2 linked regions of the Tamandua tetradactyla genome follow. The protein of the gene in region 2 purifies or fractionates together with the protein of the main gene of each other region. This does not show direct contact. Links are inferred from orthologs where the notes say so. Each region holds a gene or a part of one and is shown on either strand. Other genes may lie near its edges.

The links.
Region 1: the proteins of PHLPP2 (region 2) and NHERF2 purify together in Homo sapiens (affinity purification with mass spectrometry; 3 studies listed by BioGRID and IntAct, with this or other methods). This does not show direct contact. The link is inferred for Tamandua tetradactyla from reciprocal best matches to the Homo sapiens genes PHLPP2 and NHERF2.

Annotation. Positions count from the first base shown.
Region 1 is NC_135349.1:55,495,823-55,503,043, reverse strand, and holds the start of NHERF2 (Na(+)/H(+) exchange regulatory cofactor NHE-RF2), read left to right. Parts: upstream 1-4,167; coding exon 4,168-4,380; intron 4,381-4,603; exon of another isoform or gene 4,604-4,808; coding exon of another isoform or gene 4,809-4,910; intron 4,911-6,436; coding exon 6,437-6,637; intron 6,638-7,221.
Region 2 is NC_135342.1:67,036,332-67,043,647, reverse strand, and holds the start of PHLPP2 (PH domain leucine-rich repeat-containing protein phosphatase 2), read right to left. Parts: upstream 3,029-7,316; 5' UTR 3,008-3,028; coding exon 2,909-3,007; intron 2,432-2,908; exon of another isoform or gene 1,497-2,431; intron 1-1,496. UniProt on the Homo sapiens protein: Protein phosphatase involved in regulation of Akt and PKC signaling.

The DNA of each region.
Region 1 (7,221 bases), on a different chromosome or scaffold from region 2:
CCAGGCCCCAGGGTCCCCGAGGAGGGGCCGAGGCAGACCCGTCCCCATCTGGGAGGTGTACAGGAGGGTGAAGGGTACCTACAGGTACCTGCCTCGGGTCTGGGCTGGGGAGAACGCCCGGAGAGTGCACCCCCTTCTCCACCCCTCGGCTCTCCCCAGCACCCATCAGACCTGGGCTTCGGCTCCCTCCCACCTGTGTGCCCCTCCAGACTGGAAGGGGGACCTTGGCTCTCCTCCCAGGGGCCGGTCCCTCATCTCAGCAGACCCCTCAGGGACCCTCCCCCTCTTCCCTCCTCTAGCATTTCCAGTCCTTGCTCCTACTCCACCAGGCCCCTCCACCCACCCTGCCCGCTGCAACCCTCCTCACTCTGGTCTCTGCCTCCACTCCGTCCAGACCTTAAACCTCAGGGGCACATGCCCTGATGCCTTCCGGCAGTGGAGACGTCTCCCCAGGGGCCCTTGAGAGCAGCCTGCAGGGACCGGGGGCGTGGGGGTGGTGGTGCTGATCCAGCTCCCTCTAGCTGACAGCTCCCACTCTCCCTCAGCCTCGGGAAGCCTCCCTCTCCCCTCCAGGACAGTTCCTTATCCCCTGAGTGCACCCTTCTCTCTACCTGCTCCCCTCAACGTGGGTGCTCCCCACCCCCGACCGATTTTATTTATCCAGAGGCTTCCCAGCCCTTCCCTCAGAGCCCCCCACAAGGTCCTGCACTGATGCCTCAGCCGCTCATTCTCCCCGCTCCAAGCCTGTGCATTCCCCAGTCTTCCCCTGCTTGTGCCCTCAGAACACGGTGTCACAAGACCTCAAGGGCTCCCTACTGCCTAAGGGACAGGGTCCCTGCTCTGGCGCCTGGCCACAGGGCAGACATTGGCCCCTCTCTCTCCTTAGTTCTTCCCGGCCCCCATGCCTTGCAGGAACCCTGGGCAGGTCCCAGAACATCCCAGGGCCTCCCTCGGTGCAGGACCCCTGGGTCCCCAGGCGGGGTTAGATGTCCCTCGGGGCTGCCCTGGGCTCAGGTCCAGGTGCCGTGTCTGCGCCCGCGGTAGCCAGCCTCCCCTGCGCTCAGCCAGCGCCCCGCACGAGCGGTCCGTGCACGCGTTCGGCTGCAAGCGGCGGACCACCTGGGGAGGGGTCTGGACTTCCTGTGGCGGAGAGGCACCCCCAGCTGGGAGAGGGTGTCAGGTCCAAGGTGGGAGCAACCGAGCAGGTGGGCGCCAAGCGGAGGCCGGCTTTCCTGCCCACCTGTCCTTAGCACCCCTGTGCCCCTGCGTCCTCATCAGCCCTAGGGAACCGGCCTCAGCCCAGGCCTCAGCCCCGGGACCCCCACCTGGGGGAAGCCGGAGGGGCGGGGTCCGAGGCCGCTCGGGGTGATGTAATCCTCGCCGCCGCCGGCAGGTGTCACCCCGCCGTTTCTGTTGCGGGCGAGGGGCGGGGCCCGGCCGCGGGTTCCCTCCGCCCTCCGCACCCGCCTCGCCGTCACTCCGGCGTCCCGCCTCTCCTCGGGGTCTCTGCTCTCCGCCCCGCTCCCGTCGCTCCCTTTGCGGGCTCCGAACGAGGCCCGGGGCCCGGCGCGGTCTGAGGGCGGAGGCGACTGACGCGGTCAGGGAGGAGGCGCCCGAGCGGGAAGCCCTGGGTCGCCCCCGCCCCGACGTCGGTCAGGGTCCTGCGTGGGTTGGTGGCCAGGCCTCTGCCCGCGGCCGCCCCGTCGCGGAGGAGGGCTGCCCCAGCATGCAGGCCCGACCCAGAGGAGGGAAGGGACCGGAAAGTCTTGACATACGACATACCTGCGCAGCCGGCCGCAGGCCTGCACAGCCAGTTGGCAGAGGTGGGTGGGTGGGGTCACCTGGATTCCTCATCAGCCCTGGCCTGACCTCCTTGTGGCCTGCTGCTGGCCTGGGGGGCCGGGCCACACCCAGAGCCACAAAATGAAAATAAAATCCAGGGTCAGTCCGAGCCCTGCCCCAAGGCGCTGCCCCTGCTGCCTCACTGCCCCCTTCCAATGCCCAGTCCCCAGTCTCCACCCCCCAGCAGCGTACAGCCCTGGACACTGCTGGGTGGAAACTCCTGAGCCTTTGCCATGCTGTCCCTTTGGCCTCGTTGCCTTTACCTGTGCCTCTGCCACTCACGCCTCTGTCACCACCCACCACTGGCCTAGGGAGCTGGCAGGAGCCTTGGCAGGGCTCGCAGAAGCTCCCTGAGGAGCATGTGCCCGGCAGACCTTGGGGGCACCTTTCCTTACTTCTGTGGCCCGGGCCTCTGTACTTATTCTGCTTCCTTCCCCTTGGTACCACCTTTACTTATTCTCCAGCAGGCGAGCAAGGGCCTGGGGCTGATCTGAGAGCCTATGAGGGTGGGGGAAAGAAGTCTCCAAGCCCCCTGACTCAGAGGGCCAGGGCCCCTTCCTCTCCCACCCCCCTGGCTCAGGGTCTCCCATGCAGCCAGCTCCCCCCTGCAGGTGTGACCCCACAGCTCCAGCCTGGCAGGTCCTGGGTGGTCCTGGTTGCCGTGGGCAAACACCCAGGCCCCACTCGGGTAGAGCGTGGACTGCCTGCACCCGCGTCCTCAGCCTGCAGGGGCAGCAGGGCCAGGGTGGGGCCAGGGAGGCCCAGTCGTGGCATGACGGCACGCAGCCAGGCCCGACTGCAGTGGCATCCTCTGGGACCTGCAAAGATGGGGGCGAGAGAGCAGCTCTGAAGCCTGAGTGGCTTTTAGGGGCAGCTGCTGGGATGTGAGCACCCAGGGGGCCTGGGCCCAGGAGGCTGACCAGAGGGAGAGGGCTGGGAGGCCAGGCCTGGGGTGCTGGAGGGAGGAGAGCTGCCAGGTCTGAGCTGAGCCTGCCGCTGCCGCCCTGATGGGGAACTGGCTGTGGTGGCCATGCCTGCCTCCGGGGGACCAAGTATGTGCAGGGGGTCGGGCAGGGCTGGGAGGGGCCGGCCGAGGGGGCAGAGGGCGTGCCTGTGACTCGATTGTTTCCCTGCTACAGAGACTGCCTGAGCTTTAGCTGGGAATCTTGCCTAAGCCTCTTCCCTCTCCTTCTCCCAAGCTCAGTTTCCTGATCTGCGAAATGGCCGGGGCCCCTTAGGGTGCCCCAGGTGAAATGCATACAGCGTGTGGTCCACAGGGGGCACCCCAAAGCACAAATGATTCATCACTGTGGTTGTGGCCGTACGCCTGGGGGAAGGGGTGCTGGACTGTTGAGGCAGGTGGAGCTGGGGTGGAGTGGGGGTGCCGGCCGGCAGCGTCCTGCTCAGCGTGCAGCGGCTCCTATGGCCACTGCCAGCGCTGGGGGTGGGGGGTGGGGGGAAGCATGGCGCAGACACCCGTGTCCCAGCCAGACAAGTGCAGGGTCCTCTCCCACCCCATTCCAGCCGCCACTGCAGAGTCACAGTCAAGACCTGGGGCGGGGTGTGTGTGAGAGAAAGTGAGGGGCCCCAGAAAAGGGACGGAACGGGTGGGGGGGGGATGTTTATACCCAGACAGATAGCACCAACACTCCCCGGGGGCCCAGGATGTCACCAGGTCACCTCCCTGGCCATATCACTATTGAGCCCCTCTTGCATCCCCCGGGGACTCTGTGCTGGGCGGGGGCAATTGGGTGGGGGAATGGAAGGACCCAGAGACAGGGGAACGGGGTCGGACAGCAGGACGAGTCGGGGAGGGGAGGGGAGAGGGAGGGAGAGAGGGCTTTCTGGAGGGGGGTGGGCATTGCGTGGGGTCCCTAGGCCCGGAGCCCCTTTTTTTCACCCCTTTAAGAGCCTGCTTCCAAACCGCGCAAAGAGTAGGTGCTCCATAACGTGCTTGGACCCAGAGGCAAAGGCTGCCCAGCCCGGGGCAAGGCAGAGGGGTCCGGGCGGCCCCGCAGACACCCCCTCGCCGGCGGGCCGTGGAGGCAGGGGCCGGGCGGGCTGCGGGCGCGGGGCGGGGGCCGCGGGGCGGAGGAGGCGGGAAGGGGCGGGCGCGGGGGGCGGCGCCGCCACCGAGCCGAGCCGAGCCGGAGCCCCAGGCGCCCCGAGCCGGAGCCGGAGCCACCGCGAGCGCCGCCGGGCCGGGATCAGCCGCCGCCGCTGCCGTCCGCGCCCGCGCCCGCGCCCCTGCCTGGCGGGCGGGTAGTGAGCGCCGCGCCGGGGTGGGCCGGGGTGGGCCGGGGTGGGCCGGGGCCCCGCGGCGCCATGGCCGGGCCCGAGCCGCTGCGGCCGCGCCTGTGCTGCCTGGTGCGCGGCGAGCAGGGCTACGGCTTCCACCTGCACGGCGAGAAGGGCCGCCGCGGGCAGTTCATCCGGCGCGTGGAGCCCGGCTCCCCCGCAGAGGCGGCCGCGCTGCGCGCCGGGGACCGCCTGGTCGAGGTCAACGGGGTCAATGTGGAGGGAGAGACGCACCACCAGGTGGGTGGCCCCCGCCCGGGACCCCATCCCTGGGACCCCCGCGTCTCGGCCTGCGCCACGGAGGCAGCGGTGGGGGGGATGGGGGGTGGGGAGTGGGGGCTGCCGGCCTCCTTCCTAGACTCCCCCACCCCCCAGGAAGCTCAGCCCTGCGCCGCGCGGGGGTGGGGGCTGGGGGTGCCGCCTGGCAGGGAGGGGCCGCACTGCGGCTCGGGCCTTCTCTGCTTAGGTGCCTTTGGCCTCGGCGCCCAGTGTAGGGGTGCCCTGCATCCTAGGGGTCTTGGTGGGTCCCCACTTGGGGACCCTGCGTGCTTTCTTACGTTTGCATACACCCTGGGTGTGTGTGTGAGTGTGCCGGTCACCCGCGTGTGCATACATCTGTGTGTGTGTATGCATCTCTGACAGTGTTCACAGCCAGGGCTAGTGTGTACATGGACTCACCAGCGCGTGCGCATGTGTGTGCAAGCGCGTGGACAAGTCTTCACGCCTGGATGTATACAGGTTTGTGTGTGTGTGCAGCGCTGCATGCCCAGGTGAGTGTGAGTCCGACTGTGTGTGCACTCCCCTGCGTGTGGCTGTGTGCATGTTGGGCCCCGGGGACTTGGCCGTGTGTGCCCCAGCCAAGTGGGTCTGGGTCAGCTGCTTGTGGCAGCACATCCGTTAGCTCCGCTGGCCACAGCCCCTATCTGCAGCTGCAGGGCACGGGCCAGAGGGGGAGGGCAGGGGTCTTCTCAGTGGGTTCTCACTCCTGGGGGGTGCCTGCCCCGCTGGCCTGGGTCCTCCAGCCCTGCAGGGTCATGACCTGTCCACGTGGCTAGGTCTGGGTGGGCCAGGAGCTGAACTCCTTCTCCCACCCCAGGGACCCTCATCTGTCCATCTGTGTGCCCTCCTCGTATCCTTCTAGACCATCAACTGGATACGGTGGTTTGCTGGAGGAGTGTGGGGTCAGGGGCTGGGGGGCTCGACCTGGTGGGCCGGGGTAGGGACAGGTAGAGTTGGCTTACCCGGGGCCTCTGGGGCACTGGCCTCTCAGAGCTAAACACAGGACCACAGTGCCCCAACCAGCTGCTCCAGGAGGAGAGGGGCAGTTACAGTTCCTACCTGATAGATGGGACACATGCTTGGAAATGTGGCTGACCTACGCAGGGTCACACAGGAGGGGAGTGGGGGGTCTTGGGGTCACAGGGAGAGAGAAAAGCCAGGGCAAAGATGGGTCTGGCTCAGCTACTCCCGTCTGTTGACGTCTGCCCAGCAGCTGATGGGGAGGCCCTGGCGGCGCCCCTAGGCCATGGGGTGGGGTGGGGTCGTGGTCCCGCCTACCACACGGCTTCCTCTCCTTGCGGGTGAACCCCGACGTGCATGCCCGCAGCTGCCTGCGTGCTCCAGGCACGTCACAGGTGCTCACAGACTCACGTAGCAGCCCTAACCATTAGTACCCGTTCCACAGGTGGGCCGGCCCCATCCCCCTCTGCCTCTGGGGCCTGAAGCCCTCTCTCCTGGCCGTCTGAGCCCTGCCAAGCTGGGCGTGGGCACCTGGTCAGAGGAGCCCAGCTCTTTGCTTCTCTGCAGATGCCAGGTCCCAGTCTGTGGCTAACGGAAATGGGGAGAGGCAGGGGCTTAGGGGCTACATGCTGCTGCTGAGAAAGATCCCTCTAGACCGGGCCTGGGGAGACCCTGCTCTGTTCCTGAAACCCGGCCTGAGCGCCAGGCCCCAGGCCATGCATGCACAGACCAAAAACCTGAAGCTCAGACCCTCACCCTCTCCCTCATCCCCAGACAGACTGACCGACTCACGCAGCTAACCCACCCCTGCAGCCCCCTGCCTGGCCCCTCCTGGAGAGGACCCTGGGCTACTGCCAGCCCTGCTCAGATCCCCGGCCCTTGCAACCAGTCCCGGGTGTCGGGAGCTCTGGGAGAAGAGGGCGGGAGCTACCGAGGCTGGGGGTGGGGGGCGGGCCCGGCAGGCATCTCGGTCCAGCCGCCCATCCCTGCCGGCCAGCCCCGGGCGGGGTGCCGTCCTCCCTGGGCTCCGGAGCTGACCCCCCATTCCCCGGGCCAGGTGGTGCAGAGAATCAAGGCCGTGGAAGGGCGGACACGGCTGCTGGTGGTGGACACGGAGACGGACGAGGAGCTGCGCCGGCGGCAGCTCACCTGCACGGAGGAGATGGCTCGGCGGGGGCTACCGCCCCCCCATGAGCCCTGGGAGCCGAAGCCGGACTGGGTGGCCACGGGCAGCGCGGGCCCCGAGGCAGGCGGGAAGGTAGGCGGGCTTGCCGGGCACCTCCGCCTCGGCCCCTGGGGCTGCTCTTCCCACCCTCCCCCGGTCCCTCCCCACGCCCGGTCCTCTGTCCCACAAAGCTCATTCAGTCCCAAGTGGCTGGGCCCCCTGGGGCGGAGCTGCTGGAAGTCCTGGGACTGCGAGGGCCAGCCCTGCGTCCGTGGAGTCAGCACACGCTGTGGTCAGGGCAGCCGAGGAGGGGCCCCAGAGGGGTGGGTGATGAGTGGGTCTCAGGCCGGGAATCGGGGCTGCTGGCGCCCCGGGTTGTGAGCAGCTCCCCCTTCTCCCTGACCACTTTCCAGGCCAGGAGAACCGGGGAGGAGGGGTCGCGGGGTGGGGGCAGTGCCAGAGGGGTCACTGGGTGGCCTCACTGGGTGGAAGAGGTGTCAGATTTGGGGTTTGTGGGTGCTGGACGAGGCCGGCTATGTGGGGTCTTGACGCGCCATCTCTTCCCCTCCCCAGAAGCCTCCAGCGTGGGGGAGGGCTTTCCCTCTGTGCAGACAGCCTGACCCAGGCCAGGCCGGGGACCTGCGGGCACCTCCAGTTCTCTGAGGCTGGAACAGGCC
Region 2 (7,316 bases):
ATGTGAGAGAGGCACCAAGGTCTGCTGGCAGCAGGTCTTCGGGAAGAAAGCATCACCTTGATGGTGCCCTGAATTGGACATTTTTGGTCCTCAAAACTGTAAGATAATAATCCAACTATTTAAGCCAACCGATTTTATGGTATCTGCTTTAAGCAGCCTAGGAAACTAAAACAGCTCATCTCTGAGAACATACATGGTAAAGAATATTTTGGAAAGGGTGGAGAGGGGAAGAATACTTTAGTTCATGGAAATTTTGTTGATAGTAATTGATTTTTTTAAAACCATGTACACATATTATTTTGATAAAAATTTTAAACTGTTATTGAAAAAAATCTCATGGCACCCACTGACTAGATTATTTCTAACTTCATATCTTCTAGAGACTAAGTAAAAACAAATAAACAAATAAAAACATACCATGATCCCAAACTGTAGAAAATATCTGGAATACTTTAAAAGCTATGCTTCAAAGGCTTCAAAGGTACTTCAAATATTTTTAAGAGTATCAAAAATATACTTATATTCCAACTACAAATGTAAAGGGGTATATTCTAAATAGCAATTTGTTGAGTTAATGTAGGGACAGGGTTTTTTTCAACATCACAAAAACTTTATTTCTAGGACATGAGTTATCTTAAGGTTGCAGATTAAAAACAAAATTTGAAGACCTTCTAGACTAATTTTAACAGTCTTCCCTTCATACACTAGTTTCTTAAACATTTTTAATTGTGATATTTACCATACACACACACACACAAAAGCAATAAATTTCAAAGTACATTTTAACAAGTAGTTCTAAAACAGATTTCAACATTTGATATAGGTTACAGTTCCACAATTTCAGGTTTGTTAGGGGCAGGTTTTGAATAAAATTTTCCAATAACCCACAAGATGGATCTAGATTTAGTCTGCCTGGGTTATATTGTCTTAATGACACTATCCTTTTAATGAGAATTATATTATTTAACCATAATGATTGAAGTTCATGGTTTCAGTTTTAGTGTAAAAAAATTACAAGGCTTTTTTTTTTTTCAAAAGGTCTTCAGAGAAGAAAATGAGGGAGATTGACTTTATTTCCAATTAAGGAAATTTTATGTGTACATATTCTCTTCTAGCTTCCCTTGGCACAAAATTCAACCACTCAGCTAATTAAGGGAATTTTTTTTTTAAATGTAAGATAGAGCACCTAATCTCCAGAATGATCCCATTTATTTGCAAAGATTATTTAAAGTGTTTTACTATATGCAATAAAGCAAAGGTATTTAGAGACCGTCAGCCTCCCACTACACTAGCTCAGTACTGCAATTAAGATCAATTTCTGACATACTTCTAATGGTTCCCAGGTTGGAATCGCTGGGAACTGGTGTTAGGCTGTGTTCAATAAAGATAATCATTTCTCATTTACTTCCCTCTCACAATTCAATCACTCTCCACCCCAACCCCTCCCACTCCGTCCCCCCAAAAACTTATTAAAAAAAAAAGCCAAAGTTGTTTACCTTCTAGGCCAGAGGGTAAAGCCTATCTCTCACAGCAGCCATTTCCTGATAAACCAGAGCAGTTGAACTTTTTTAAAACATTGAGTTCATTCACAATTTACATTTCTGTGACTTTACAGTTTTAAATGACTATCCAAAAGCCTTTGGATAATTATATTTGCAATTTATGATAAAATAAATGACAAAATGTAAGAGGTTTATATAGACGTCAAAGTACGAGAAGTTATTTAAGTCACTGTATTAAGATTGGGAGGCAGTGTCAGAATTTTTTTAATATCTTTTACAGAGTTATAGTTTATCTTGTTTCATGAATTCACTAGGTTATTCAACTCTTTTTGTTGCTGTCCCCATTCTGTCCTATTATAATCGTTTTATTTTCTCTCCTCCTTCTCTCTGGCCACATTCTTCTTCTAGAACTCTAGTGTGAATTCCATTCCACTTCCAGAAGGACACTCAGTTTACATATTTGACCTACAGAAATTTTCTATTTCAAAGGCTAATAGAAACTCCACCCAGAGAGCCTCCCACAATCCCTCCCTTTAACCATCTTCACAGTCCCCTCCCCACTCTACATTCCATATGCATTCAAACTTCTTGTCACCGTCAAGGCTCCCCTACACCCTAGCCGCATCTGCTTTCAATTCTTCCCACTCCCCTAATTCCTGCCAAAGCCCCGCTTGCTGCCTGTTGCATAACTGCTCCCCCATTAGCCTCCCAGGATGATTAGCCCCGCTCCCGCAAGCAGAAATGCCCCTTTCTGCCCAACCCCTCCTCCCTTCTGCAGCATGCTCAGCCATTCCCGGCGATTAAGCGCCTCCGGGGATTTTCTCTCCAGGCGGGGCAGGTCATCCTTCCTCGCCAGTGTCTCGCGAGCTGGGAGTGGGGTGGCAACTTCGGTTGTAAGCCCAGAGGGCAGAGGCTGCCCGCTCCACCCCGCGCGGCCCCGGACGCCCCGCCGCTCCCGGCCAATCGCCACCGCCATCCCGCCGCCGGGGTGATGTCTTCAGGTGTCCGAGAGGAAAGCCCTGCGTACTTCCAGCCTCGCGGTCAGCCAGGAGCCCCCGACTGGGCCCCGAGCGAGGCCCGGGTGCGCAGTGGTGGGGCCCGGGATCCTGGAGGCGCCGGGTGGGCGGCGGCGGCCAGGCGGACACCCGCCCGAAGGCGTGGGCCTGCGAGGCGGGTGGCGCGCGGCCAAGGATGGGCAGCGGTGGGGGGCGGAGGCGGCCAGGCCTGGGCGGGGGCGCGGCGCGGAGGCCTCGGAGGAAACCACGGCGCAACCCGTTCGGCTGAGGGGCGGCCGGGCCGCGAAGCTGACTGACTAGAGCACTGCAGGGGGTCACCGCTGCCTCGGCTACCGCGTGGGGCGGGGGGGGGGCTGTCCCCTCCCTCCCCAGCCCGCCAGCCCGCCTCACCTTCAGTACCCGGATCCCTCCCGGCCGGCGGCTCGCTGGCGCTTCGGGCGGCTCCGGGGGCTCCAGCGGGCCCGTGGGGCCCGGCTCCACCTCCCCCATCGGCGGCGGAGGCTGCACAGGGCTCGCCGGCCGGCGCTACGGCGCGCGAGAGCAACCGGCGGTCCCGCCCCCAGGTCGCGGGCCCCGCCCCAGGCCCCGCCCCTCCCGCAGGCCCGCCGGACCTGCGTAGCTGCGGACTCCGCGTGGCCCCCGCGCGGCCCTGGCGCCGGGGAGGCGCATTCCCCAGCCCGCCGAGGGACAGGAGGGCGGAGCTCGGCGACTCCTCAGGGCTGGGCCTCCTCCACAGCCGCGGTCGGCTTGGAACACTGAGGTGCTGGGAGTGTTATTTATTGCTATCCACGCCCCCGAAGTGATAGGAAAAAGGGGCAGGTAGTGCCAGCACCTGCCAGTTGTGACGGGACGCTGCCCTCCGCTGAGAGCGGCTCTTATTACTTACCTAAAACGTACCTTCTGTTTCAAAACTGGCTTGTCACCCTCCTTTGCAAAGTCCTTGAATTAACTATTTACTGACAATACTCACCGTACCAAGACCCTCTGCTTTATTAGAGATGCTACGACCTTCTTCGGTAAATTCGACCCAACCTCACAAAATGTGTCAGCTCACTTCTCATCCATATTAGTAGTTTTGTGTTCCGAATTTGGAGTCAGTCTGATTTGAAATCTCAGCTCTACCACTTATTGGACCTATTCCCTGTGCAAGCTATTTAAACTTCTGGTTCCTTATCTGTGAAACAGAAGTGAATCAGTTGAATAGTTAGGAAAATTTACTGAGTAACACATTCAAAGAGCATAACACTTAGGGATTCATAGCAGCCATTCTAATTCGGAATTTCCAAGACTTCTAGATTTTAGGCCTTCTCTTTACAAAGGTCTTGATGAGTCTTAAAGCAACTCGTAAGGATATTTAACAACAGAAAACCATACTCCATGGAGTTTTGAAAAACTGGTAAAGATGGTGTCATTATTATCCATTGCTTCACCTTTGCTAATCCAGATAATTACCTATTGGAAATATGTAAATATTTCCTTAGTACAAGAAAGGTTCAGGTCTAATTGTGCAGTGTTTTCCTCTCATTGTAGAACTATGTCTATTTGGAGATTTTAAATACAAGGACAAAAGTTGGTTCTTGTCAAGACTCTCAACCTGTACAAATTACTTCTGTGAAAGAAAAAGGATGGTCACTACATTTTCCATTTACCATAAATTACTTTTAACATACCATACCTCAAATTCCACTAATCTTCATTTGCTTTGTATAAGGAGAAAAAGCTCTTAGCTTGTACACCTACCTGGTTTTCCTTCTACTTTGAAATTCCTTTCAAGAAAGCTACTCAAACTAGTCAGATTCCTATTTTAGTGTTGCTTCTTCCAGCAAGAACCCGAGTATGTTAGGGGCAGGCTCCAACATGGAGAAAGAAGTGTATTTGAACAAGGGCACACAGGCAAGCAGTGAGAATAATAAAGATGTGGATCAGAATAAATGGTTCCAAAAGCTTGTTTTTTGAAGTATTACACATTACTTTCTCCGATCTCATGAGCAGAAACTCTTTATTGCTTGACCACTTGAAAGAGAAGGATCTTGTCCCAGGACTAGGGTTTGAATTCATGCTGGGGTATATATAACATTGGTAGATTTTTTTGTTTGTTTAATTAATGGACTAGTGAGTGAAGCATCAATTCAGGATAATGGTGTATGCTAAAAGTTTATGTGTTTACTACCCCATACTGGCAACACAATTAAGACAGTAAGAGAAGTAAAAGAAGCCACCAGCAGAGATTTCAGGGGGTAATTTATGATGCCATTCTCTAAGTTTAAAGATCTCCATGATTTAAGACCTGATTTTTCCAATTCAGAAACTATTTTTCCAATTCAGTAATGACAACCAGTTGTTCTCACCTTATATACTGCCATTAACATTTTATACTTTGTTTCAAAGGTCACATATTCATGCTCTCTCCCAGTTCAAGGCAATGTGCATTATGTATGCCAAGAGTTATGTAACTACAATTTCCAGAAATGGTAAACAGCTGAGACTAACCCTAAAAATAAATTTCTCTGGGATTTTCTTGTGCAAAAATCCATCTGCCCTCACTGCAGGTTCATCATTAACAAAATCAGGTTGAATCAAGCCAAGAGGCAGAACAGTCATTAGAAGCCCTCCTGCCCTGCATCCTTCCCATAGCAGCTGTGCATACCTTCTCTCACAGTTCCTGCAACCCCCCAGCTCAAACACACATGGACTTTATCCCAGGAGCTTTTCCTAATACTCACTGCAAAAAATGGTAGAAAGTCTGGAGAAAGAAATTTCGTGTCTATCAGATTTTGGTAAAGGAGCCATAAGATACTACAATCACTTATTTACATCTAGTTCCCAACTCTTTTGATGACCACAAAGTCAACTTTAGGTCTGAATCCCTTCTTATTCTACCAAAGATTGTATAAGTCTGGATTTATAAAATCCTTATTTCATTTCCAAATAAACAGGCAGTATTCACTTGGCTTCAAGATTTGAACAAACTTTTTCTCTGAATATTTTTATATTTTCAAATATGGGGACAATTGGACTGAGGAAGGAAATAGTGTGGAAAACCCGAAAAGTGATAAAAATGAATTTGGTTCTTTGGTATTAAAGTTCAAATCTTAATACTATTCATTAAGTAAATTTCTAGGCTCTAACTTTTCTGTTGTAGCTTTTATGTTTTCATCTAATTACATCTAAATGAAAGTGCCAACTAAATTTAATATGAACAAAAATGAATTTTAACTAAGCAATATATGAAGATAGATTATAGAAATGTAGCTTATCAAACAGTGCCAAAAGGCAATTCTGCATATACTAGATAACTCCGTAGGCCTACACCTTCCTCTTCTCAAACATTTATTACTCTGATGTTAGGGATCATCAGGGTAATAGAAAACCTGAAGCTAGAGAACCTGAAGCTTCCAACCACTCATTTCTATGGAAAAGTTCTTATAACACAGACGAGCATATACAATTCATTTTGGCTGGTGAGCCCTTTCTCTTCCCAATAACAGATCTCGGAGACCAATTCACAAATAGCAGCTTATAAATGAAACCCCATGACCACCCCTAAAACACATTCCACTTTTTCTTTGCCTAGTTTGAGAATTTACATATGTGAACAAGCATGTAAGCAACCACATTATAGTTAAAATTAAAGACTTTCTCATGGTCTACCACACTAGTTTTTAAGTTGTTAAAATTTCTGAGATCTCTGACTGTAAAAGGACCATTTAACAGGTCAGTAAGTTTAGCTCAAAACTGGATTAAAAATTCATCCAAGGCTTCAAATCCATTTGTAAGAAGCAAGGAAGCAAATTTTAAATCATTGAATATTGACTTTTTATTATTAGTCACTGTTCATAATTTGTTTCAACCAAAAGACAACACACAGCAGAATTCTAATGCATCCCATGTAACTGTTTACATCCATTTTATTCCTCACTCACCTCTAAGACTTATCATTAATTTTTTTTTTACATCTCAAAAATATGTCTGCAATAATTAGAACTTCGTTAGCCATCCCACTTGGAAACAGCCTTTTAATATTTTTACAGTAAAGAAAATATGATGGGGCTTAATGAAAATGCAACTTACAACATTATGAAAGAAAAGGGACTTTACAGGAACACAGTGAGAGTTCACAAAGGAAAGAATTCAGAGGCTCTTTCCCATGAGGCCTCCAAATAGAAAACAAAAACAAAACATACAAAGCGCAACAGCAGGTTCTTTAAAATGGGGGTGGGGGGGGTGGAAAAAACTTCAATGCTCCATCTTGAAGCCAGAATCAGCCTCATGGAAGTTCATGAAGCAACTGTGCAAGATGCTTCAGCGTTTTCCTCTGTTTAAGTGACCCAGGTCCTGGAACTCTGCAGATGGGACCCACTCACTGATATTGCTTGAAAAAAAGACCTATTCACATCCAGTTTTAAGAGCAGCCCCACCCTCCCAAGCCAAAGCTGGTCAAAAGTTTATTAAACTTCAGGTCTTTTTGAGCAACTCTCTCTTCAATGATTCTCCCAATTCCCAAACCCCTAAGTACACAGACATGTACAACTTCTCTCCAAACACAAAGCTCTTGAATATCCTTTTTTGCACTCTAGTTCTCTCAGTTTAGGACACTGAGGTTAAAATACATTCACTAGGGAAATACATAGACATTAAAACTTTGTCTTTCTGTTAGCTCTAATGGCCACAATATTTTCCAATGCAGAAGTTAATGAAGTTGAATCTCAAAAGCAGTATTCCCTAACTTCCAACCTCTTCTAGAGGGACACAGAAATGGAAAGCATGTTACATAGTGGCTAGAAATACTCAAACCACT